7 linked regions of the Mus musculus genome follow. The protein of the gene in region 4 purifies or fractionates together with the protein of the main gene of each other region. This does not show direct contact. Links are inferred from orthologs where the notes say so. Each region holds a gene or a part of one and is shown on either strand. Other genes may lie near its edges. The genes, in order: Lemd2, Vps45, Golm1, Slc39a4, Letmd1, Mgat1 and Abcb10.

The links.
Region 1: the proteins of Slc39a4 (region 4) and Lemd2 purify together in Homo sapiens (affinity purification with mass spectrometry; 3 studies listed by BioGRID and IntAct, counting the BioPlex papers as one, with this or other methods). This does not show direct contact. The link is inferred for Mus musculus from reciprocal best matches to the Homo sapiens genes SLC39A4 and LEMD2.
Region 2: the proteins of Slc39a4 (region 4) and Vps45 purify together in Homo sapiens (affinity purification with mass spectrometry; 3 studies listed by BioGRID and IntAct, counting the BioPlex papers as one, with this or other methods). This does not show direct contact. The link is inferred for Mus musculus from reciprocal best matches to the Homo sapiens genes SLC39A4 and VPS45.
Region 3: the proteins of Slc39a4 (region 4) and Golm1 purify together in Homo sapiens (affinity purification with mass spectrometry; 3 studies listed by BioGRID and IntAct, counting the BioPlex papers as one, with this or other methods). This does not show direct contact. The link is inferred for Mus musculus from reciprocal best matches to the Homo sapiens genes SLC39A4 and GOLM1.
Region 5: the proteins of Slc39a4 (region 4) and Letmd1 purify together in Homo sapiens (affinity purification with mass spectrometry; 3 studies listed by BioGRID and IntAct, counting the BioPlex papers as one, with this or other methods). This does not show direct contact. The link is inferred for Mus musculus from reciprocal best matches to the Homo sapiens genes SLC39A4 and LETMD1.
Region 6: the proteins of Slc39a4 (region 4) and Mgat1 purify together in Homo sapiens (affinity purification with mass spectrometry; 3 studies listed by BioGRID and IntAct, with this or other methods). This does not show direct contact. The link is inferred for Mus musculus from reciprocal best matches to the Homo sapiens genes SLC39A4 and MGAT1.
Region 7: the proteins of Slc39a4 (region 4) and Abcb10 purify together in Homo sapiens (affinity purification with mass spectrometry; 3 studies listed by BioGRID and IntAct, counting the BioPlex papers as one, with this or other methods). This does not show direct contact. The link is inferred for Mus musculus from reciprocal best matches to the Homo sapiens genes SLC39A4 and ABCB10.

Annotation. Positions count from the first base shown.
Region 1 is NC_000083.6:27,189,100-27,191,769, forward strand, and holds the end of Lemd2 (LEM domain-containing protein 2), read right to left. Parts: intron 1,692-2,670; coding exon 1,541-1,691; 3' UTR 501-1,540; downstream 1-500. UniProt on the Homo sapiens protein: Nuclear lamina-associated inner nuclear membrane protein that is involved in nuclear structure organization, maintenance of nuclear envelope (NE) integrity and NE reformation after mitosis.
Region 2 is NC_000069.6:96,041,456-96,044,955, reverse strand, and holds part of Vps45 (vacuolar protein sorting-associated protein 45), read left to right. Parts: intron 1-2,027; coding exon 2,028-2,162; intron 2,163-2,533; coding exon 2,534-2,647; intron 2,648-3,450; coding exon 3,451-3,500. UniProt on the Homo sapiens protein: May play a role in vesicle-mediated protein trafficking from the Golgi stack through the trans-Golgi network.
Region 3 is NC_000079.6:59,662,285-59,665,784, forward strand, and holds part of Golm1 (Golgi membrane protein 1), read right to left. Parts: intron 3,393-3,500; 5' UTR 3,372-3,392; coding exon 3,243-3,371; intron 2,094-3,242; coding exon 1,914-2,093; intron 1-1,913.
Region 4 is NC_000081.6:76,611,883-76,614,070, forward strand, and holds the end of Slc39a4 (zinc transporter ZIP4 precursor), read right to left. Parts: coding exon 2,175-2,188; intron 2,064-2,174; coding exon 1,905-2,063; intron 1,836-1,904; coding exon 1,716-1,835; intron 1,630-1,715; coding exon 1,575-1,629; intron 1,475-1,574; coding exon 1,322-1,474; intron 1,061-1,321; coding exon 873-1,060; intron 782-872; coding exon 653-781; 3' UTR 501-652; downstream 1-500. UniProt on the Homo sapiens protein: Selective transporter that mediates the uptake of Zn(2+). Plays an essential role for dietary zinc uptake from small intestine. The Zn(2+) uniporter activity is regulated by zinc availability.
Region 5 is NC_000081.6:100,467,511-100,471,810, forward strand, and holds the start of Letmd1 (LETM1 domain-containing protein 1), read left to right. Parts: upstream 1-1,500; 5' UTR 1,501-1,613; coding exon 1,614-1,735; exon of another isoform or gene 1,736-2,174; coding exon 2,175-2,326; intron 2,327-4,149; coding exon 4,150-4,265; intron 4,266-4,300. UniProt on the Homo sapiens protein: Plays an essential role for mitochondrial structure and function, as well as thermogenesis of brown adipocytes.
Region 6 is NC_000077.6:49,260,552-49,263,527, reverse strand, and holds the end of Mgat1 (alpha-1,3-mannosyl-glycoprotein 2-beta-N-acetylglucosaminyltransferase), read right to left. Parts: intron 2,958-2,976; 5' UTR 2,837-2,957; coding exon 1,493-2,836; 3' UTR 501-1,492; downstream 1-500. UniProt on the Homo sapiens protein: Initiates complex N-linked carbohydrate formation. Essential for the conversion of high-mannose to hybrid and complex N-glycans.
Region 7 is NC_000074.6:123,959,123-123,962,622, forward strand, and holds part of Abcb10 (ATP-binding cassette sub-family B member 10, mitochondrial precursor), read right to left. Parts: intron 3,084-3,500; coding exon 2,874-3,083; intron 1,168-2,873; coding exon 1,088-1,167; intron 1-1,087.

The sequences.
Region 1 (2,670 bases), on a different chromosome or scaffold from region 4:
ACACACAGGCTGGTTTCTTCCTGAGTTGTGCACTGGGCCCCGCTACAGCTCACCAAGCAGGTGTGTGTGGCAGGAGTCTGACAAGCCCGTGTCCACACAGATGGGGCCAAGTGTGGACAGGAAGGAGGCCAGGACTGGCTATGACCACAGTACATAGCTAGGTTACCTTGTTTCTGGGCCACTAGCCTTTCGGACTAAGAGGTGAATGCCTATAGCTTGTTTTGCAGCTTTCTGAAAGCACCCCAACTCTGTCACAGCCCATCACCAATGCTGGGCCCAGAGACAGGAAGCTGCCTCCTTCAAGGGCTTACCAGCTCCGTGCAGCTTCCCTCAGAAGCCCTGGGAGCCTTGGGACCAGGGGCTCAGTGCTGAGTCCACATGGCTACCCTGCAACTCAAGTGGCTGTAAGCAGCTTACCTAACTCCCAGGGCCAGGGCAGCCTGGCCCTGTCCAGCCCTCCGCTGTAGGGAGACAGAGGAAGCACCACAAATAAAACCACATCCGTTCTCAATAAATATTTTATTTTTCCAACAGTTCCACCCCCAATACAAAAGCCATTGTCTTCTGGCTGGGGCCTGCTCAGTCCCGGTCCTGCTGACCACCCAGACACACGGCAATGAGCATACTGCTACACGGAGACCGAAATGAGCATACTGCTACATGGAGACCACACTTTATTAAGAAACAGAGACCAGCAATAGGTCCAAAAGGGGGTGTCTTGTGTCTTCTGGAGGCAGCTGCACGTCACCTCCAGGGGCTGTCCTCCTGCTGCTGTAGGTGAGACCCGCCTGAAGAGTTGCTCGAAAGCCTCCCTCTCAGCTAATGAGGCCCCCCACTGGGTGTATTTAGAGCAGGTCCTCCATAGCCGAGGGCTAATGGCCCACACTACTCCATGTGGCCTGCAGAGGGCAGTGTGCAGCCACGATGCTGCACCCTACCTGTGTGGCTAAGCAGCCAGGAAGCCTGTGCACAGTAAGTAGGTGAGGAGGCTGAGCTCCACCCTGGCTCAGGTGGCACTGCTGACCTGTGAGCAGCTCTGAGGCACAGGCAGCTGTGGCTGGACTCCCCACGCCTTCCAGACCCCAGCCACCTCTGCTTGGTCCCCTCCAGCTGCTCCTACCTTCTATAACATCGTCCCCTTCTGGACAGAGGCCCATGCAGGAGTGGGCTGGGTTCCTCCCCTCCCCTTAAGCTCCCTGGAAGCGAAAAGGCACATGGACCAAGCTTTGCCCCACCACCCAACCCACCTTCCAAGCGAGGGGCTTCAGGATCACCGTGCTGTCTAGCTGTGTGCAGGACCTCCAGGGTTCCAACCACTGCCCATCTTTTTATCCAGGGAGAACAAGCCACTCTCCCCTGTCAGTCAGTAATACTGACATAGAGGAAGGGCTCCCCTGTTCTCCCGGCTACCCTAAGTAAGCCCACATGTTCCAGACCTGAGACCCGGAGGGCAATCAAGGCAGGTGTGAATGAGCACCAAAGGTCTGTGTCCTTGCCCCAGCTGGGTGGCTGGGTCAGGCTGGCGGTAACAGGCCCTGCCCTATCGCTCTGAATCAGAGAAAGAGGAAGGCTTAGTCCATCTCCACACCAGCATGTCCTCCCCGGCCACTCGGTGGGACTCAGTCTGGATCCGAGATTCATTGGAAGCCAGGAATTCCACAGCACGGTCCCATACTCGCTTCATGCGCCGCCTGAAAGGAGAAGGTAGCGCTCAGCTGGGTCAGGCTGAACCACTCCATTCCCACAGAGGGGCGGGCATTCCTAAGCTCTACCACACTTGGATAAGCCAGCAGTGGACATGTTGATAGGGCAAAGTGAGGCACTGGGGATTTCCTCACCTCCTGTGCGCCACAAGCCTTGGTACAGAGCTAAGGGGCTGGCGGTGATGGGTACCCAGGACCACGTGGGGACTGTGCTTAGCTCAGATGCACCCCTTGTAGCATAGAGGACATGCGGGTGTGAAGATGAACCAAGATGGGAAAGCCACCCCCAACACGGTCCTGAAATCTTTTTTGTTGGGAAGGGGACCCACAAAACAGTGATTGGCTCCGGCTGACTCCTAAAGATGTGTCTCTGCTCACAGGCATCACTTGTCCCTGTCCTCACAATGCTGGGAATTTGGATGCTCTGATTACCCAACATGCTACAGACACAGAGCTCGGAGGATGGGGTGCCAGCCTCAGGCCAGGTCCCCAGGAGGCAGGAAACAGCACCTCGTCGGCAGGAGGGCCTGACCCACCAGTGGCTTCAATCAGCTCCCTCACTCGTGTCTCCTTTGAGGCCCCAAGTGTGCCCTTACCTGGCAGACGGGGGCTCAGACCCACTACAGGTCAGCTCTGCACCACTGTACCAGCATGTGAGGTCTAGGTGACATGGCTGCAGTCAGGGTGCCAAGCCAGCTCTGGCTATGTTCTCACGGGGAAATGTGTTGATATCAGGCAAATCAAAGGGCCAACAGCACTGTGCAGTGCTTGTGTGCCTGGAACTAGCATGCCAAACTCCAAGGCCACCTCCTCAGCACCTGTGGGACCAGCCACTGCCCCGTGTCACATGGTTTCCTATGCTTCCTCCTCCTGCTCTCATGTCCACCAAGGTGTGGACTCTGGGTCTCCACTTGCGCCGCACACAATGAGTGGAGCGGTGTGGCCTGAGTGCCTCGCTGTTCAGGGC
Region 2 (3,500 bases), on a different chromosome or scaffold from region 4:
CTGTGTGTACTGATCTAGTATTGTATGTAAGAGTTAAAAGAAAACCAGATTTCCCTGAGAACCTATAACTGTGTGTACTGATCTAGTATTGTATGTAAGAGTTCAAAGAAAACCAGATTTCCCTGAGAACCTATAACTGTGCGTACTGATCTAGTATTGTATGTAAGAGTTCAAAGAAAACCAGATTTCCCTGAGAACCTATAACTGTGCGTACTGATCTAGTATTGTATGTAAGAGTTCAAAGAAAACCAGATTTCCCTGAGAACCTATAACTGTGCGTACTGATCTAGTATTGTATGTAAGAGTTAAAAGAAAACCAGATTTCCCTGAGAACCTATAACTGTGTGTACTGATCTAGTATTGTATGTAAGAGTTAAAAGAAAACCAGATTTCCCTGAGAACCTATAACTGTGTGTACTGATCTAGTATTGTATGTAAGAGTTAAAAGAGAGAGCCTCTTGTTCTAAACAAAACAAAACCCCCTGTGTCCTAAAAGGAGGAGAAACTAGCTTTTACTTGTACAGCCCAGTAGAGCGGGCTTCCTCAGGGTCCTCTTGGCAAATCTGTATTTTTGTTGTTGTTTGTTTTAATTTGTTCTAGAAGTTGAAAAACCCCTTTCTTTTCCTTTTTTCTTTTATGTCTTTGGGTGTTTTGCCTGTGTATGTGTCTTTGCGCCACCTGTATGCCTGTTGTCATTGGAGGCCAGAAAGGCACTGGGTTCCCCTGGAGCTGGATTCATAGACAGCTGTGAACCACCGTATGGGTGCTAGGATCTGAACCTCAGGTCCTTTGGAAGACCAGCCAGTGTTCTTAACCACCTAACAATCTTTCCCATCCTTTGACGAATCTCTCAGGCAATAAAGCACCTTCTTCTGGGCTAGAGGCAGCTCAGTGTTAAGAGTACTGATTGCTCTTCCAGATGGCCCAAGTTCAGTTCCTGTAGGACCTGATGCCCTCTTCCTTCCAAAGACATCTACACACATGTGGCACACACACATATACACAAAATAACAAAATTTAAAGTACTCTCCTTTATTACATCTTAAATTCTTTCTTTTTTAAAAAATGTGGATGCTTTACCTAAATGTATGTTTGTGCAAAAAGAGTATGCCTGGTGCTCATGGAGGCCAGGGAGGGAGCTGAACTCCTGGGGCTGGAGCTGCAGACAGTTGGGAGCTGCCACGGGGTGCTGGGAATGGAACCTGGTCCTCAGAAGAACAGCCAGCGTTCTTAACCACTGAGCCATCTCTCCAGCCCCTTAAATTACTTCTTAATAAATTTAATTGTAAATATATGTATAAACACACCTAGGTTGTATTCTAGATGTAGTAGTAACTTGCTAAAAGATTCTTAGTTTTGTAAAAATACAGTCTCTATAATGGTGAGAAGGCAAATTTTTGGCATTTTACCTTTCTGGTTTTTAACCAAACAAAATACATTTTTGAAGGCTGTAATAAATCAATCCTTCACAATTCATACTCAGTTAAAAACATAAGACAAAATGGATCCAAGGCAAGTGTCTGATTATGCCAGTGTTTTGATTAACTCACAAGGGTTTTTCTGATAATATTAGTGTTCTCTGGATAAATATAGCACCACTCAGATCTGCAAGAACACACTTCTCAGGCAGCAGAGAACCACAGAAGCGTGCAGGAACTGGTGCAGCTTGTAACTGCACTACCAATATAGCCCTAGCTGGCAAGCCAAAAATATGCTCTTAATTCACAGGCAAAAATCAGAGCTAATGATAGCTGCAGTCACTTTCTTTCTATCAGGAGTATTAATCTTGTTGCATTTTCTCTAAAGTGTGAAATGTAAAAGTATTTTGACTGTTTGAGTGTTTAAGCAATTAAAGTGACAATCTGAATACTTACTAGAGAGCAAAGTATTAATAAAAATACAAACTAACTAGAGGAACTTGGTGTGAAGCAGGCTACTTACTAAATATGCCATTGTTCTTGGTTTCCTAAACACTTGATATTTCCATGTTTTGTCACTTGACAATTCTTTTTGTTTTGCTTCTTTAGTGGACATATCAGGCCATGGTCCATGAACTACTGGGCATAAACAACAACCGGATTGATCTTTCCAGAGTGCCAGGAATCAGCAAAGACTTAAGAGAGGTGGTCCTGTCCGCTGAAAATGATGAATTCTATGCTAATGTAGGTGCTTTAATTTTTCAGTTGTTCTTATGTAAAGTGTCAGTACTGGCGTGTGAGAATGGGACACATTGGGTCTTTGTGTGAAAGGACAGCAGGATCCTGCAGCTAGGCTGCATCTCAGAGTGGCAAAGATTTAGTGCTGGCCTTGGACATATGATCACATAGATACTGACTTCTGGTCATAGCAGCTGACTCCATTCTGGTAGCTCAGTGAGAATACTAATGGTATTCATCACAAGTGTCCTGGCTAATATCAGACTTGGTAATTAAAATGGAATTTATCTTTCAAGTCTGTTTAAAATTCTTCATTTCTCTCATGATATTAAAAAAAAAGACTAGTTTTGAACTTTATCTGACTTCCATTTTCACAGAACATGTACCTGAACTTTGCCGAGATTGGTAGCAATATAAAGAATCTCATGGAAGACTTCCAGAAGAAGAGACCAAAAGAGCAGCAAAAGCTGGAATCCATAGCAGACATGAAGGTACATCATACGCGTGGATGACTGACCTATGACTATTGATGTAGGCATCATCTCTGCAATATTCCAGGTCTCATTTCTACCAGGACTCTTTATATATGACACTTTAGACTGTTGATGGAGGCATAACTTCTGGAATAGTCCAGATCTAATTTCTACCGTGATTCTTTGCTTGTTTTTGAGTTTTGTGGAACTGGCTGGTAACTGCTATGTAACTCATGCTGGAGCTTAGGAGGTCCTGCCTTCACCTCCCAAGTGATGGAATTCCAGATGGGGGTTATCATGCCCAGCTAGCTGCTTGTTTGTGTTTGGTTTGCATCCTTCTATTTTGGTTTTGATACAGTACTTATTACTGTAGACTGTACTGTATCTGTGTAGGCCTGACTAGTCTGGAACCCATGGCAGAACTGTACCTCAGCCCTACCAAGTGCTGGAAGTCACTTTGCTTAAGTTGAGACATTTTCTGTGAGCCTTTTCTTTAATAAATAGCATGGTGACACATCCATCATAAATCATGTTAAATCTCTTTCCATTCTCAGCTAGGACTGGCCTCTATAAAGACCATAAGGGTATGGCCCATCTTTTCCTTTTTTTTGAGACCGAGTTTATTTGCATAGCCCAGGCTGTCCTGGAACTTGCTTTGTAGACTAGGCTGGCCTTGAACTCAGAGATCCACCTGCCTCTCTGCCTGTGAGTGCTGGGATCAAAAGCATGTGCCATCATGCCCAGCTTACAGTCTTTTTTACGAATGGCTAGTCTTAGTCAGAATGTAACAACATCTTCCATTAATGTTTCTTCCATGGCAGGCCTTTGTTGAAAATTATCCACAGTTCAAAAAGATGTCTGGGACTGTCTC
Region 3 (3,500 bases), on a different chromosome or scaffold from region 4:
GCTTTGTGGGTTTTGCCTTTATAAGCACCAGACTAATGTGACTGGCAGCCATTCCCTGGGAATCCTAGGTATAAGCCTGGGTGGTGTCCATTGCCCTGGTCAGTATTTAATAAAGCTTGGTTCAAATTTGGCTTAAAAATTGTGGTAGTGGTCTCATTCTTGCCCAGGGAGATTAACAACCTGTAATCCCACCATTTGAGAAGCAGGGGCAGTAGGACACAGATTCTCAGGTGTCCTGAAATACAAAGACCCTGTCTGAATGTATATATAACATTTGGGTGGAGCACACACGTGTGAGATGACTGCTGGGTCCTCCAGAGCTTCTCAAGTGGTACCTCGTATCTTCTCAATGCCCTGGTCCATGTCACAGAATCCTGAGCAAGCCGGTTTCAGGGCTAAGGACCCCAAGACCCAACCTTATTCAAATTCTGGGCAGGGCAGCAATCTGGGAGAAAGGCACAAGGTGGACAGAAAGGCTCTAAGCTGTCATGGCCTCCACCAATTCCAGCAAGTGTGAATAAATATAGCTTAGTTCAGGGGCTCGAAAGATGGTTCGGCAATTAAGATCGGGGTGGCTGCTCCTACAGAGGACCTGAGTTCAGTTTCCAATACAGACCTGGCAGCTCACAACCATCTCTAACTCCAGTTCCAGGGCATTTAGTGCCCTCTTTTGGCCTCTGGGGATACCGGGCACATAGCTGGAGCACTTACATGCAGGAAAAACAGTCAAACACATAAAATAAAATATGAAAATCTTTAAAAAATAGTTTAGTTCAACATTTTTTTCCCCAAATCATTTAAAGGAATCTTTAACCATACTGGCTTTTACTTTTAAATCATTCTCTCAGTGCTGAGAAGTGGTGAGTTTGAAGGCAGCCTGATCTACGAAGCTAGTTCCAGGACACCTAGGGCTACACAGAGAAACCCAGCCTTGAAAAACAAACAGATGAACAAAGAAAACTTTACTTGGTTAGGAAAAGGCAAAACGCCGAGAACACAGAGCCCGGTTCTCTCCTTAGCTGCAATGCCACGCACACTTGATCTCACACTGCAACCTCTGGGTCAGCTGATAGGGCTCCATGGTATGATTTGCGAGTCTAGACAAAATGTGGGGACACAGGAACGTGTGGCCAATCTTCTAGAACTTAGTCTTTGAGCCCTGACTCCCAAAGAGTCTGGGGCAGGGCTTGTATTGCTTTGTTTCCCCATGAGCTCTCAGGGGACCCCACCATGGCATGAACAGCAGAGAATCTGACAGACGGACTGATAACCCAGCAGCTGACCAGCAAGCTGGGAGACTCTCGGGGGCTCACCTTTCGCTACCCACTCCGCTAGGGCCGCTTGTATTACAGGATCAAGGTTTTCCAGATTTTAGCATATTTACACGAACTTGACTCATTCATACCTCACCAAAAAATACGGCATCCAAAGTGTCCCTAAATCCACACCTGCGTGAGTCAGGTGCTTAAAAAGTTTCAGAATGTGGCACACCTCAGATATCAGATATCAGATGGGGTACTCAACCATACCTGTGACTCTCACTGAGAAAGGAAGGAAAGCAAGCAGCTCCCAGGACCTACGCAGGGGTCTGCTTGACCCTGGAACACAACTCCCAAAACTTCAGCCCAAGATAGCTCCCCTACCAACTCACACCAGTAAATTCTGCAGTCACTGAACATATTTGACAACTTAATTTCAGTTAGTTAAAATTAAATTAAATTGAGTCACGGTTCAAGCCTTCAATAGCCTCACATGGCTGGTGGCTACTGAGCCATAGAGAGCAGACCAACAACTAGCCACCGCAGTAGCCTGCTCACACCTCCATGCAATGACACAAGGCTTACACCCAGATGAATACAGAGAGGTAGGAGGTGTCACTCGGGAGAGGGCGATGGGGAAGCGGTCGGCCTTACCTTCTCATCCTGGTGTAGCTTGTTGACATTCTCCAGCTGGAAGCTGTGGCTAGACTGGATCCTGTCAAGTTGCTCTCTCTGCTTCTGCAGCTCGCCCTGGAACTCATTCTTCTTGAGCTCTACAGCACCTCTCTCTGCAGCCGCCCTGCGGACCCGGCCTTCCAGCTCTACAATGCGCGTCTAGAAGGAAGACACGGCCACAGCCATGAAGATCCAAGCCGCCAGCTGAGACGCTGCCAGCTCCCTCAACCAAGGCGTCATGGGACCAAAGCTTACGGCCCAGTGGAGAGCAGGACAAGGGAAGGGGTGGTGGATGGAAGATTACCCGGAGGACACAGGGGCAGGGGGACTTGCTAAAGTACTTGCGGTGGACACTTGCCAGAGGCAGCCAATGACCTAGCCATCAAGGGGAGGGGTGAACATGTTCTCTGCAGGGTGAGGCTGGGCAGATCAAAGACAACAATCACAACCTAAGGAACAGGAGGCCTCAGAGGAGACCAATGAGAGACTGTCATCGTTCCATGTCTTAGATAGGGTTCCCTCCCATTGCTATGATAAACATCACCACCGAAAGCCACCTGGGGAGGAAAGGGTTGATTTGGCTGAACCGTCCTGGTCACAGCCCATCTTTGAGGGAAGCTAAGGCAGGAACTCAGACTGGCAGGAGCCTCGTGACAGGAGCTGAAGCAGAAACCACAGAGGAGTGCTGCCTACTGACTTGTTCCTGCTGGCTTGCTCAGCCGGCTTTCCTTCTGTACAACTGCCCAGGGGTGGCACGAACTGCCTTGTCAATATCTGCACCCCACACTGGGATAGGCTCACTCACATCAGTCGCTAACAAAGGCCCACAGGTTTGCCCACAGGCCCGTATTATGGAAGCATTTTCTCAACCGTGGTCCCCTCTTCATGGACGACGTTTTAAAACCAAACCAAACCAAGCAGTGATAACAAACCCAACCATGGCCTCATTTACGATTGGCCATAATATGTGGGAAACCTAAAATTACCACCCATGTGGCCCTTGGTTTCTCCAGTGGACTGACAGACAGGAATGGGCAGTGTCCAGTTCACCTCTGCCAGCCAACATTCCCGTCTGCCCTAAACGCTCAATGGAAAGCAAAGCGCAACTCAGTAGTCACAGAGGAAGTGGTGCTGGGCTGGAGGGAGGGACCTGCTTCGGGGAGGGGGCTGGTGTGGAGAGCTAAAACACCGCTAGCACACGGTGTTGGAACCCAGGGTACCGGCTGACAATACACAGGGGACCCATGGCATGGTGCCTCAGCTGGTTTGAACACTCAGTGGTTCGTACACTCTAAAGACACAACATACCTGGAGTTCCACGCTTCTCGAGCTAGCAATCCAGTAGTTGAAGCCTAGCACAATAACACAGGCCACCAGGGCAGCCAGGATAAGGGGCGGAGACTTCATGCTGCGACGCCCATTCCCCAATCCCATCATCTTAGAACCAGGGCCGAGAACCTGCCAAATAAAAAACGCATGAGTTTCCACACTAAGCCTAGCATCCCCGAAGCAGACCACATCCATCTTCAGTATCCACAGGAAGGCAACCATGTGAGCTCTCTCTCT
Region 4 (2,188 bases):
GAAAGAGCAGTCAGTGCTTCTAACTACTGAACCATCTCTCCAGCCCCCCAGATTCATTGCTTTTGCCTGATTGAAAACTTGCCTTTGGTTTTCTAGCCTCCAGAACTGAGAGAATAAAGTTCTGCTCTTTCGGCACCTAGTCTAGGGTAGACAATTATGTCAACCTCCAAAGGCTAATGCAAGGGGATTTGGAATAGCCGATTCTGCCGAGAGCTCCACATTAACAGGTTGTCCTTTGGTTTGATCATTTCTAGGCTTCTCTTCATGGCAGAAATGAGCCCTCCCTCATATTTGTAAGCAACGTTGGTAATGTTTTGACTCGAGACAAGGACCCCATCAGATCCTGGAGAACTCTGACCGTTCCCCAGGTTTGATTATAGGAAAGACAATCTGGCTGTCCACAGGACCCCCAGTGGAGCCGTCCATAGCAAACGCTGAAGATGGAGGTAGTGGCCTGCCCCAGAGCTTTCACCAGGAAACTCTACAAGAAGACAGTGTAGTTGGGTTTGATTGAAAAGTCTTTATTGAAGTCAGAGCAAGGAAATGAGGCTCAAAGCCTCTGGCTACCCGTAGTGGGGCCAACAATTAGGTGGCTTAAGAAGGTAAAGCAGAGTCAACAGACAGGGACAAGGACTGGGATGGGATAGAGCTGTCAGAAGGTGATGTTGTCTTCGTACAATGACAGCAGCAGCAGGACGGTCCAGCCGCCCAGCAGACCCACGTTGTGGAGCAGGAAAAGAAGCCAGGGCCGCTGGTCGCGCACATTCATCATGGCTGGGAGCTGAGGAAAAGATGGCACCAATTCAGCTGCCAGTTGGTTGGAGCCCCTGGTTAGCTCCCCACCCCTACATAAGGCTCTTCCCCTTTCTAACCATGTCACAAAGCGCCACGTAAAGGAAGAGGCCGGTTGCTACCGCCAGAATCCAAGCCTCGCCCTCCTCGCCTACTCCGACTGCTAGAGCCACGTAGAGGCCTGCGAATGCTGTGAGCGCTGAGGCCAGATTCAGCAAAAGCGCACGCTTCACACTCAGCCCGGCATGCAGCAGAGCAGCGAAGTCCCCTAGAACGGAACAAGTCAGCGAGAACTCTGCCCACAGGTCAGGTACAGCCCACCATGCCTGTCACACCCACATCCCAGACAGACACACCCAAAGGCAGTCCGGCAATCCATCCTACATCTAGCCACGCCCTCCACCCCCATCCCATCACATGCCTCTCTCATAGAAAGGCCTTGTCCCTTTTTCTCTGGCCTTGGTCACCTCCAGAATAGATTGCTCTTCTCACTAAGCCCCACCCTTTCAAGCCACGTCCCAGAGCTCACCGAGTTCATGGGGCAGCTCATGACAGAACACCGCCAATGAAGTGGCCAGCCCAGTCTTCCACGAGGATGAGAAGGCGGCGCCCACAGCGAGCCCGTCAGCGAAGTTGTGTACCGCGTCGCCCAGTGTGATCAGATAGGGCAACAGTCTCAGCTCTGTGGGCATAGCAAGCGTGGGTCTTGTAGGCCAGGTTCTGCACGCGCCTAAGGGCAAACCCCAGATCTGCAGTGCCCCCAGGAACTCCCTGGGGCTCACCTGCTCTCAGTCGCCGGGTCTCTGGGTTCAGTAGTTCCGGGGTCTCCTCTGCCACCTGGGGGGCGCCGGGGCGGGAGCAAGAATGAACCCAGGCAAATACATAACTAAAGGGCTCAATGTGGGATAGGACTTGCCTCTTACCAAGTCTGAACGAGAGCTTTCATGGGTCTGTTTGGACTGTCGGAGATTGCTTGGTGCCAGCTGCAGAGATATTCCATGGCTGTGCCCACCATGGCTACAAGGCCCATCTTTCTCAGAATCCTGTGGAAAAACTGGTCAGAGCCTGTGAAGACCTTACCCATCCCACCTAGTGGTTCCCCAGAGCCTGACCTGGTCCCTGGGCAACAAGAGGTTGAAGAAGCTCTCAAACAGGAAGAAGATGTAGAAGCCTCCAAGTACAGCCAGCAGGCGCCAGGTGGCCTGCCCACCAACGCCCACCTCCTCCTCATGGGTGTGACCCTCTCCACCATGTGTGTGCAGTCCCAGCACCTGAGAAGGGGGCGAGTACTGACTGGGGAACTTCAGGGCTACAAGAGGCTTGATTGAGGCTGGGAAAAGGGCAGTGTGGGGGGGGGGGGGCCCTGTTGAGTGACGGCTGACCTTGGGTATCAGGT
Region 5 (4,300 bases), about 24 Mb from region 4:
AGCTGGCCTCCGAGATTCTGGACATTTTCCTATTTCTACCTCTCACCTTCCCCACTGCAGTGCTGGGATTATAAATGTACGCACTGTGGGCTGGACAGAGAGAGACAGACAGAGACTGAGCTTGTGTGCACACACACTCGTTACCTGTATGTCAGTGGAAGGGGAATGGAAGAAGAAATACTCAGCAGCTATGTGAGGAAATGAATCCGTAGAATCCGTATCACATTTTTTCTTTTTGTAGTTTGTGTACATGTTTGCGCATGCCTGGTGTTGGATATGCACATATCTTTTTTTTTTTTTTTTGGACAGGGTCCCCTCTAACCCTGTAACTTGCTAACTTGGCTAGACTGGCTGGCTAGCAAGTGCCAGGGCTCCTCCTGCCTGGGTCTCAGCTCTAAAGAAGCTCCGGGTTCCCCTGCACAGAGGCCAGGACGTGGGTGTGTTGGGGGTGGGGTGGGGAGGCGGTCATAGGCACAGACCACCGTGCCCAGCTTTTGGCGTTAGAGTCAGGGATTGAACTCAGGTCCTTAAGCTTACTCAGCACTTTACCCAGGACGACCTCCCCCCCCCCGCCCCCCCCCCCACACCCTGGACTACACAAAATGCCCTCCCTTTAGTTTGTTCTCCCAGGCAGTGCCTTTCCATTTCTGTTAGAAAACCGTCTGTGACTGCGCTCGTGTCTCCTGGGAGTTCTATTAGCGAGCCGGAGACACCGTAGTTGAGGGACTTAGAAGCTACCTGAGAACCGAGAGAACCCATCTTTTGGTCATTTTCTATCCTACCTACCTACCTCCTCTTGCAGAGAACAGCTTTGCAACTGTTCAAACCACCAGCCCTCCAAACACGGAGATGTTCTACAGACGTGGGAGCTTTTGCAAACATGCAAACATTTCATCCTTCGATCTTCACAGAATTCTGCAACACAGGTACAACCCACATGAAGTTCACCGAAGTGACCTGTCCAAGGTCCCCCACACTAAACCTGACTGCAGACGCATGGCTTCAGCGTGCTTCACGTCCGTTAAAATGCCTATGGACACAAGAGGGCCGTCGACTCTCGCGGACAGCTGGACGCCTAGAAACCCTTCCGAGTTTCAAGTAGTCATTTCTCCAAAAAATATCCACCGCGCACCTACTCCGTGACAAGGGCGCGTGAGGACCAGAAAGCGAGGGTTGGAAAGGGGTTCTACACCTGCCGCCAGATTGATGGAGGGCGGAGCCCTGCCGGCCGCCGCCACTAGAGGGCGCAGCGCCACCCCGCGCCGCCGCCATCGGGGCCACGACCCCGGGCTCCCACAGAGGTCAAGGGCAGCGCCCGCGGCCCCGAGCCCCCAGGGACCGACGAGGGCACTGGGTTCCTCAAGGAGACGCCGTCCTCGGCTCACGATAGCGACCTCAGGCTGGGCCGGCGCTCGCTCCCTCGGGGAGGCTCGCTTCCGGTCCTGCGCGCGGAAGCGTCGCCGCGTCCAATCCGGGTCCCCGCCCGGGCTCGCCCGGGGGGCGCGGGGCGGCTCGCAGCCGCCTGTCGGCGTGGAGGGGCGGCGCGTGCGTGCTGCGGGGCGCACTCTGACCCGGAGACGACCTCTCTCCGCGCTCCCTCCCCTGCTGTGAAGATGGCGCTGTCCAGGGTGTGCTGGGCTCGGGCTGCTCTGTGGGGTTCGACTGTCGCCCCTGGACCCTTTGTCACCCGGAGGCTGCAGCTGGGCCGCTCTGGCCCTGCGTGGCGAGCCCCTCGGTGAGGGCCCTGGAGAAAGAAGAGCATTTTTGATGTAGAAGCCCTTCCAGCGGCTCAGCCTCCGCCTCTCGGGATCCCCTGCCTTGGGCCCTGGGTTTTGCTTTTCCATGCAGGATTCCCACCGAACGCCCGTCCCTGTCCCTCTCCGTACTCCGTGTCCACCCGATTGTCCCCGCACATCCTGAGCTCATCTTTCAGCTTCCCCTTCCCATCTCTCCATGGCTTCAGCTTGCATTCTCCTGGCCCCGCAGGCTTTGCGCACGCTCCACGCTCACACCTTTCTGCATGATCTGCCCCTCTCATACCAACCCTAACCCTGAGCTTGGGTTTTCAGAAGAGTTCTGGCAATCGCTCTCAGAAACCGTATGTTTACCGAGGGGTCCTACGTACCGAATGGCTTCTACTCCTTCGCAGATAGTCTCTTTGGTCTTCGTTGTAGGTCTTCAAAGCTTCACCTTTCTCCGAAGGCGGACGTGAAGAACTTGATTTCTTACGTGGTGACCAAGACAAGAGCGATTAACGGATCGTACCATCGTTTCTTGGGGCGTCATTTCCCCCGCTTCTATGCCTTATACACAACCTTCATGAAAGGTAAACGCTAACATTGAGAAGCCCGAATCTGCTCTTCTGCGTTAGTCACAGTCAGTGAGATTGCAATGTGCCGGGTCCGCTGCTGCGCTGTGAGTTGGGATGTCTTCTCTTCCGTCAGGGTTTGAGCATGAATTCTTACAAATTGTCACTGCCACCTCTTAAATATCCAGATGGATGTTATGGTAGACAAATCCTGACATCACTCGAGAGAGAGCAGAAGATGTAAATATATTCTCATTTCCTTAGAAATTCCTTGTCCTGCTCAGTGCAGACCAGACCCAGGGATTGTTATCATAAGGAAACCAGATTAAATGCTTTGTTTTAAACTCCTTAACACCAGGGCGTCATGGTCGATTAACCCTGAGAGCTCCCCAGCCAGGTAGTAACTCGCTGCTTCGTGGGGCGTGTTTATCACGTGGCCAGCTTAGATAACTTGTAGTGGAAATAGAACTGTAGACACTTGGTTTCTGAATGCTTCCACTCAAAGTGGAGGTCCGCTAGCTATGTTGAGATGATACCTATAATGTCACATGACAGCCCTGGAACCAAAATGCCGGATTCAAATCCCATTTGTGACTTAGACTGTGCACTGGCGCTAGTGACACTTACAGGGTCTTTGGTGTCTCATCTGTAAGGAGGTACTAGAACCTACCTGCTGATTACCTAGTTATGATTATTATTTAGTCATCTAGGAAGAGTGTAGCTCGGGCTGGCCTGGGGCTTTCTGTGTAGTGGAGGATGACCTTGAATTTCTGGTCTCTCTGCCTGCTGGGATGGTAATGCTGAGTGAGCCACCACACCTAATGGTGAAGAGTAGATCAACATATTTAAAAGGCTTAGAACATGGCCTCATTTATTTTAGTATGACAGCTCTATACCAAGTGTCCAATATGTGTTAACTTTTTCTATTGTTGTATTCTATACTTTTATCCACTAATAAAAAAAAATAGAACGTTGCCAACTCTGAATCTTACTCTAATCATTAGCGTCATGGAGTTTATCTAAGAAGTGGAGGTAACAATGGCTGCCTTGTTAGCCACGGGGGTTCTGTGTCTTACAGCCCCACAACCCAGCATCCCAAGGCAGGAGAATCAGGAGGTCTAGGCCAGCCTCAGCTACACAGCAAGGCTGTAACAACAAAAACAACAAACCCCCTCGAAACAAAATACTTAACGACCACCAATCATAGACACATATATGCCTTGTGTTATTTGAAGCCAACCTAGATAACATTTTGGAAGCATTAGAAGTGATTTTATTCATTTTATTTGTGTGACTGTCTTGCCTACATGCGTATCCGTGTGCTGTGTGCATGCCTAGTGCTCTCTGAGGTCAGAAAGCATTAGATGCCCTCGAGCATGTGTTCTGGATAGTTGCGAACCACCATGTGGGTGCTGGGAACCGAACCTAGGTCCTAGGTGACTGCAAGAGCAGTAAATGTTTAAACCTGAGTCATCATCTCTCCAGCCCTGGAAATAGGTTTTTTTTTTTTTTAAAAAACTAGAAAAACAAGGATTATCATAGATGGAAGATTCAGAATGGAATCATAGCAATATATCAAATCATGCAGCTTATAAACATGCCCCAGAAAGCAGCAAGTTAGTATCTAGCTGGGATGCACATAGCTCAAGTTTAAAGCCAAGCAATGAGTAATTCAGCTGGGTTATGTGCTAGGGGAAAGGATGGGGGGGGCGGGTCTGCGAGGCACAAGCTTCCTTGTCGGTAGAGCCGGGGAGGGGCCGGTGTGTGTGCATGTGAGTGACCACGGTAGGCGATTCAAACCGGGATAACACCACGTTCTGTCCTCCACTTTAATGGGGCAGGAATACAGATGTTATGGGCTGATGGCAAAAAGGCTAGAAGAATAAAGGCAGACATGTGGAAACAAAACCTAAAGTTTCATCAACTCTCTTACCGGGAGATGGAGCATTTGAGACAGGTACGGGCCGGGGACAAACACCCAGAAGCTCTCAG
Region 6 (2,976 bases), on a different chromosome or scaffold from region 4:
TTTCAGTCAACTCTGAGGGTGGGACAGACATACTCTGGTTGTCATTATCCTGACCAGGAGCCTTAGGTGCCACTGCATAGCCTGCCACATATGCACTACAAACCCTGGGCTCACTGGCAGCTTTCGGAGTTGCCCAACAGACGCTGCCTGAGCCAGCAAAGGGTATGCGGCACAACGTGGAACGTTCAGATGCCAGGGTTTTCTATTTCTGTTTTGCAGACCACTCCCAGACTTACTTGCCAACTGAGGAGCCTGTGGCCAGCTTGAGATTACCAGCAGGCCCGCAACCTAGGGCCCTCCTCACAAGCTGGCCTTGCTACCTCACCTGGCCCCATCCTCAACTGTCCCTGTCCCCCAAACTCCCCCCAACCCTATTTTTCTTCTCATTCTCTTTCCTCGAGGTGTCCACTTGCTTTCTGTCCTGTAGACTTTCCTCTCTCCCTTTGCCAACCCCTCCCCCACCCCTTCGCCTCCTTCCCTAGGACACACACACACACTTATTTTTCAGCAATTCAGCCTTTACTTTATTTTTGAAAATAATTCTGTAGATTCCATTTTCTTCCATGAAACTAAGATCAGGCAACAAACAAGGACACACAAATTTCTCTTCAGCCTGCCCCCTGCATCTTGGCCTGGGAAGATGTGGGAAGGCTGGGAAAGGCCGAGGACCAGAGCCGGCTCAGGGCCACAGATGTCCTGATCTCAGCTGCTGCCACCAGGAGCAAGCCCTCGGGGAGGAGCCCCTGAAGCAAACCCCAGGGGAAAGAGGCATGGAGCCCACTGTCTTCCACTAGGCCGCCCCTGAATCCTCCTAAAGAATGCGGAGAGAACTAACTTTCAGAAAGGAGGGGGGCCACAGGCAAGAAGACAGGGTACCCACGCATAGACTTTCCATCTCCCAACAACGCACTGCTCTGCTCCAGGACAAGAGCCACGTCAGCAGGGAGAGAAGCCAGGAGGTAGTGCCCCGGCAGCAGCAATCCACGCTAACTCTGACAGTGAGTCCCTCTGTTAGTCTCATCTGACCAAAGATCCATTCCTTCCTCCATAATCCAGCCCCACCCTGAGGGAAGGTTCAGAAAGGGAGGATGGGTACATAAAGAGGGCTCATGGGCTAACAGGGGCCAGATCAGGGTGGAGAGGCCTGCTGAGGAGAGCTGGAGCTGCCAAGCTCTCTGCAGATGCCCTTGGAGACATTACAAACCTGGCCCCAACAGGCCCAACCCTCCCCATACCACACAGTGGTTTCTTGTTCAATATGCCCCGAACATACCACACAATACTCCCTTGACAACAGGAGTATAACTCTCATCCTATGATTTGTGCACTAGAATGCCATTTGGGGGCTGGCCAGGACACAAAGGGAAGATCTACAGATCCAAGAGGGAGACACTGAGAGGGAGACACTGGCAGGATGGTGTAGCCCAGGCCCTGCAGGCCTGCCTCGGCTCAGCACGCGGCAAGGAGACCCAGGAGGGAAAGGCAGGTGCTGCTAATTCCAGCTAGGATCATAGCCAGTCCATGTCTGTGGGGGTGCCAGGTGCACACGCCGGCCCCGAAACTGGAAAGTGACAATGCCACGGTAGCCAGCCCTGGGGACACCAGACTTGAGGTCATCCATGACACCCAGGGCCTTAGCAAAGGCCTTGAAGCTGTCTCTGCTAGTGTACTGTACCCGCACCTCCCCCAGCTCCTTCTGATCATTGGTCCTTACTTTCTCCACCTGTAGCTGGGGGGCACCATAGACCTGGGCGAGGAAGTCCCGGTCATAGGCCTCCTGCTGCAGGTACGACAGGTCCAACTGGGTGAAGGGGACGAACTGCTGGTTCAGCTTGATGAACTTAAGATGCTGGTCAAAGAACTGCCCGTGGCTCACACCCTTGCGACCAAAGGTCATAGTTCTTGAAATTTCTGGACGAATACAAGCCCGTCCTTTCCGCTGCTCAGGTCGGCGCATCCAGTCGTCCCAAAAGGCCTTGGGCCACTTGGGCTCCAGCTCTGCCCACAGATCAGCCAACAGCAGCCATCCAAGGCCAGGAAAAAAGTCTGTTCGATAGAGCAGCTCAGGTTTGCTTGAGTCTACCATCTGCTCCTTGCCATTGTCATTCCAAGCAGACACACACCAAAGGGAGGGGTCTGTTCTCAGCAGTGGGTAGGTGGCCTGGAAGTACTCAAAGAAGTCTGGTGCCACTTCCAGATCATCCTCCACTACCACAGCGGCCGGGAACTTGAACTTGTTGAAGATCTGGCCTAGTGCCCAGCGGTAGTGCCTGGCAATCTTGTAGTAACCCTGGAACTTGCGGTGGTCTGGCTGCACGGCAATGTTACTCAGGTCCGGCTGCCGGATGTGTGTGACTGCAGTGCCATAGGAAGCAATGACCTGTGCTGTCTCTTCATGCCCACAGTCCTGACTGACAATAATGGGGAAACGCTCAGCTGAGGGCCGATAGTGCAACAACTTATCCAAGCAGCGCCGGACAGTGCTGCGGTCACAGGCAATGACCAGGATGGGGATCTGCACTGGTGAGGGGGTCACAGGCACACGGGGCCAGGCTGGAGGGGCCACAGTGGGAACTCTCCACCTCTGCCTCCACAAAGCATAATGCTCCTTGATTTGCTGCAACAGTCCCCTCTGCCGCTCCAACTCCGCCTCAGCGTCCTCGGCCAGGTGGATGACCTCACGGGTGAGGCTGGCAGGGTCATCACCAAGGGCGCTGTCTGAGGGCAGCCTGCCAGGTGCTGGGCGTGTCCAGAAGAAGAGAAGCAGCAGGGCATTCCAGCCCACAAAGATGATAGCACCCCAAAGCACAAGCCCTGCAGTCTGCTTCTTCAGCATCCTGGCCCCCGCAGGGGAGGGCAGGGGAGGGAGGGCTCAAGGCTGCCTTTGGCTTGCCTGGCTCAGGTCCCCACACTAAGGGTTTATTCTTCTAGGCTGAGAGTAGGAAGAAGCCATGTACCTAAAGAGGGGGAGAGAGA
Region 7 (3,500 bases), on a different chromosome or scaffold from region 4:
GAGAAGACAGCCTGGTCTACAAAGTGAGTTCCAGGACAGCCAGGACTACACAGAGAGACCCTGTCTCAAAAAAAAAAAAAGGTCCCAGCTTACCATGAAGAAGACCAAAATGATCTGTTGTCCTGTTGTCTTCACTACACTGTGGGAAGGAGTCCCCAACATGGGTGCCTACAATTGCCGGCCCATGACAACCTTATAAATCTCAGCCCCTTCCCTAAGGCTAGCAAGGCCTAGAAGACCTAAGTTCGACTACCTACCTTCCAATACAGACAAAGGGCCCAAGTCCACCCATTGCTTTCTGACAAAGAACCAGACACCACCATAACATCCTGACTGCCAGCCCCACATAGCACAGCAGTCTCTAGTCCTCTGCCCTCATGACACACATTGCTGAGGTCTAATCAGTACCAGGGTTGTGCCATCTATCCATCCTAGTGCAGAAGTCCCAATCAAGAGTGGGAATGGGAGGCATGGGCGTGACCACAGGGTGCACAGTGGTAAAAGAGTTGGCTGGGATACAGTTGTTGCTCCACGCAGTCTTGTGCAAGGAGCTCCGTGAAAAGGAACCGCACTTGCTTCCTATGGACACACAGGGGAACTGTGAAGGACAGCAAGAGTTTCTCCCGGTCCTTCCTCCAGCCCCCCAGTGCTGCACAGGAACGCCAGTCTCAGCTCTTAATAGAAAGTCAGCATTTCAACTGATTGTGTTGAGTCCCTGGGCCATAGGAAACTGTCTGTGTGTGGAGTGGGTGTGTATGGAGTGCTGTGTGTGGAGTAGGTTTGTGTGGAGAGGTGTGTGTGGAGTGGTATGTGTGGAGTGGTGTGTGTGTGAAGTGTGTGTGTGGAGTGGTGTGTGTGGAGTGTGTGTGTGTGGAATGGTGTGTGTGTGAAGTGTGTGTGTGGAGTGGTGTGTGTGGAGTGTATCTGTGGAGTGGGTGTGTGTGGAATGTGTGTGGAGTGGTGCGATCCATCTGGAAGCCTCTGTCCCACTCTGGAGAACACGAGATGGAGGCAAAGCCAAGGGACCACAGCTCCAACAAGGTGAGCGAGCGAGCGAGAGGGAAGTAAGGGAAACCCGTCTTCCTACCTGACTCACTGTCCCAATCTTGGATCTCAGCCAGACGGGGTTTAGCTGACGAATGTCATGGCCATCAAGGCTGACTGTTCCTGATGGGAGGGAGAAGGCAGAGGTCACCACAGGTCAAGGGTGATAACCAAAGTGAACCCTAAAAGGAGGGGGAATCCCAGACTCACTGCTCCCTCTTCCCTCCCTTACTGAGGCAGGAGCTCATGTAGTCAGTCAACTGCAGACTCCCTGTGCAGCCGAGGATGACCCCCAACTCACCCTCCTTTCTCAGTCTACCTACCTGGGAGGACTGTGCCGTTATTTGACCCCTCTCCCACTAAGACTGTACTGGGGAGCAAATCCAGAATTTTTTTTTTTTTTTTGAGACAGGGTTTCTCTGTGCAGCCCTGGCTGTCCTGGAACTCACTCTGTAGACCAGGCTGGCCTCAAACTCAGAAATCTGCCTGCCTTTGCCTGCCAAGTGCTGGGATTAAAGGCGTGCGCCATCACTGCCTGGCCCAAATCCAGATTTTTTTTTTTTTTTTTGCATACTAAATAAACAGTAACCAGTTGATCCGCATCCCAACCCCCAGGCAACCTTTAAAGACTAAACACAGGGTCAGGACTCCAGTGTAGCTAGTGGTGAAACACTCGCTTAGCATATGCAAGGGCCTGGGTTCTGTCCCAACCACCGAAGAAAATCAACTTCCATAATGTCCATATGGAACTCAAAACCAACAAGGCTGGGACTTTCAGAGCAACAGGAGCCTTCTGGAATGTCTGAAGCTAGGACCTCCCCTAGTGGATGGGAGGCTAGCCAGCCCCCCCCTCCTGAGTTTGGAGGTGCTGGCAGCTAGGCTACCTGGCAGTGTTGGTGTTCCATGAATCTGAAGTCTTATGCAGCGCCTTGATTCCAAAGAGAAGTGTGTGGGACAGGGGAGGAAAACACAGTGTGCACTGGCTAGCAGTTCTGATGGCAGTCTCCTGACTGCAGTCTCCTGATCATGCTGGTATCAGAAGAGACCATGAAGGCCCAGTTCAGGGATGGAGGTCTACAATGTTCTGCAAGTTTAAACTGGAGTCTCTTCAGCAGCCCCGTCTAAGACTGCAGAACAGTGCACATACATACATACCTCACGAATGGATGAGACAGTCTCATACTTGCTAAGTACACAGCCAAGGAAGAGGCTGGAGGGATAGCTCAACCGTTAAGAGCACTGACTGTCCTTCCAGAGGCCTGAGTTCAATTCCCAGCAACCACATGGTGGCTCACAACCATCCATAATGAGGTCTGCCTAACCCTAACCCTAACCCTAACCCTAACCCTAACCCTAACCCTAACCCCCTAACCCTAACCCTAACCCTAACCCCCTAACCCCCTAACCCTAACCCTAACCTAACCCTAACCCTAACCCTCTTCTGGTCTACAGGCACACATGCAGGCAGAACATACAAAATAAATCTAAACTGTCTGGTCTGGACACAGAAGACCCTAAAAAAACAGTCAAGGAACAGCCCTGAGGCAGAAGCCATCAGAAGGCCTCTTGAAATCCAGAATTGCTATGTCAGCACATGTCAGCAGAGTTCCAGTGTGGGTATGGGACAGTCCACAGCACCCATGGCTGCTGGCACCAGAAGGTATTTGCTGGGTGCTGCTGGGCAGTCTTGCTGACCCATTTCCAAGGGTAGGAATATGGGAAAGTGTTGTCAGATGTGGTCTCTCCTAGGCATGGGGTGGGAACAGGCATCAGGAGAAGTCACTGACAGCTCAGAGATGCCTCTGCCCACACTGTCACTAGCCACCTACCAGAATTAGGGTCGTACAACCGCAGCAGGAGCGAAACCACTGTTGATTTCCCAGAACCACTTGGGCCAACCAGCGCTGTGACAGATCCAGATGGGATGGAAAGACTGAAATCCTGGAATACGGACACCTCTGGGCGAGCAGGGTATGTGAAGTGCACGTTTCTGAACTCCAGGGCACCCTGGAAGGTTTTCTCATCTAACACCATCCCCTCTGAAACACAAGAGGGAAGGCAGAAAGCCAAAGTGAGAAGAATGGAGCTCAGGGCAGAATGCCCCTGCCTCCCTGTGGGTGTCTCCCTTGCCTGACTGAAGTGAACAGAAACAGGCCTAGATGCTGGGCTTATCATGTAAGGTCTTGTGCGACCTTAATTGAGGTGTCACCTTTTCTTGGGAGCAGTGTGAAGCACAGTGTGAAGACTGGCCCTCGGGTCTGACCCACCTCAGTGACATCTCTCAGTGCCACCGTGCTCTAGTGGCTTCTGTGCCCATGGCTCCAGGGAAGGTGATGACAAGGAGGAGGAGATGGTTCTCCATCAGTACCAACATCCCAGCATCCCAAGGAGGAGATGGTCCTCCATCAGTACCAGCATCCCAAGGAGGAGATGGTCCTCCATCAGTACCAGCATCC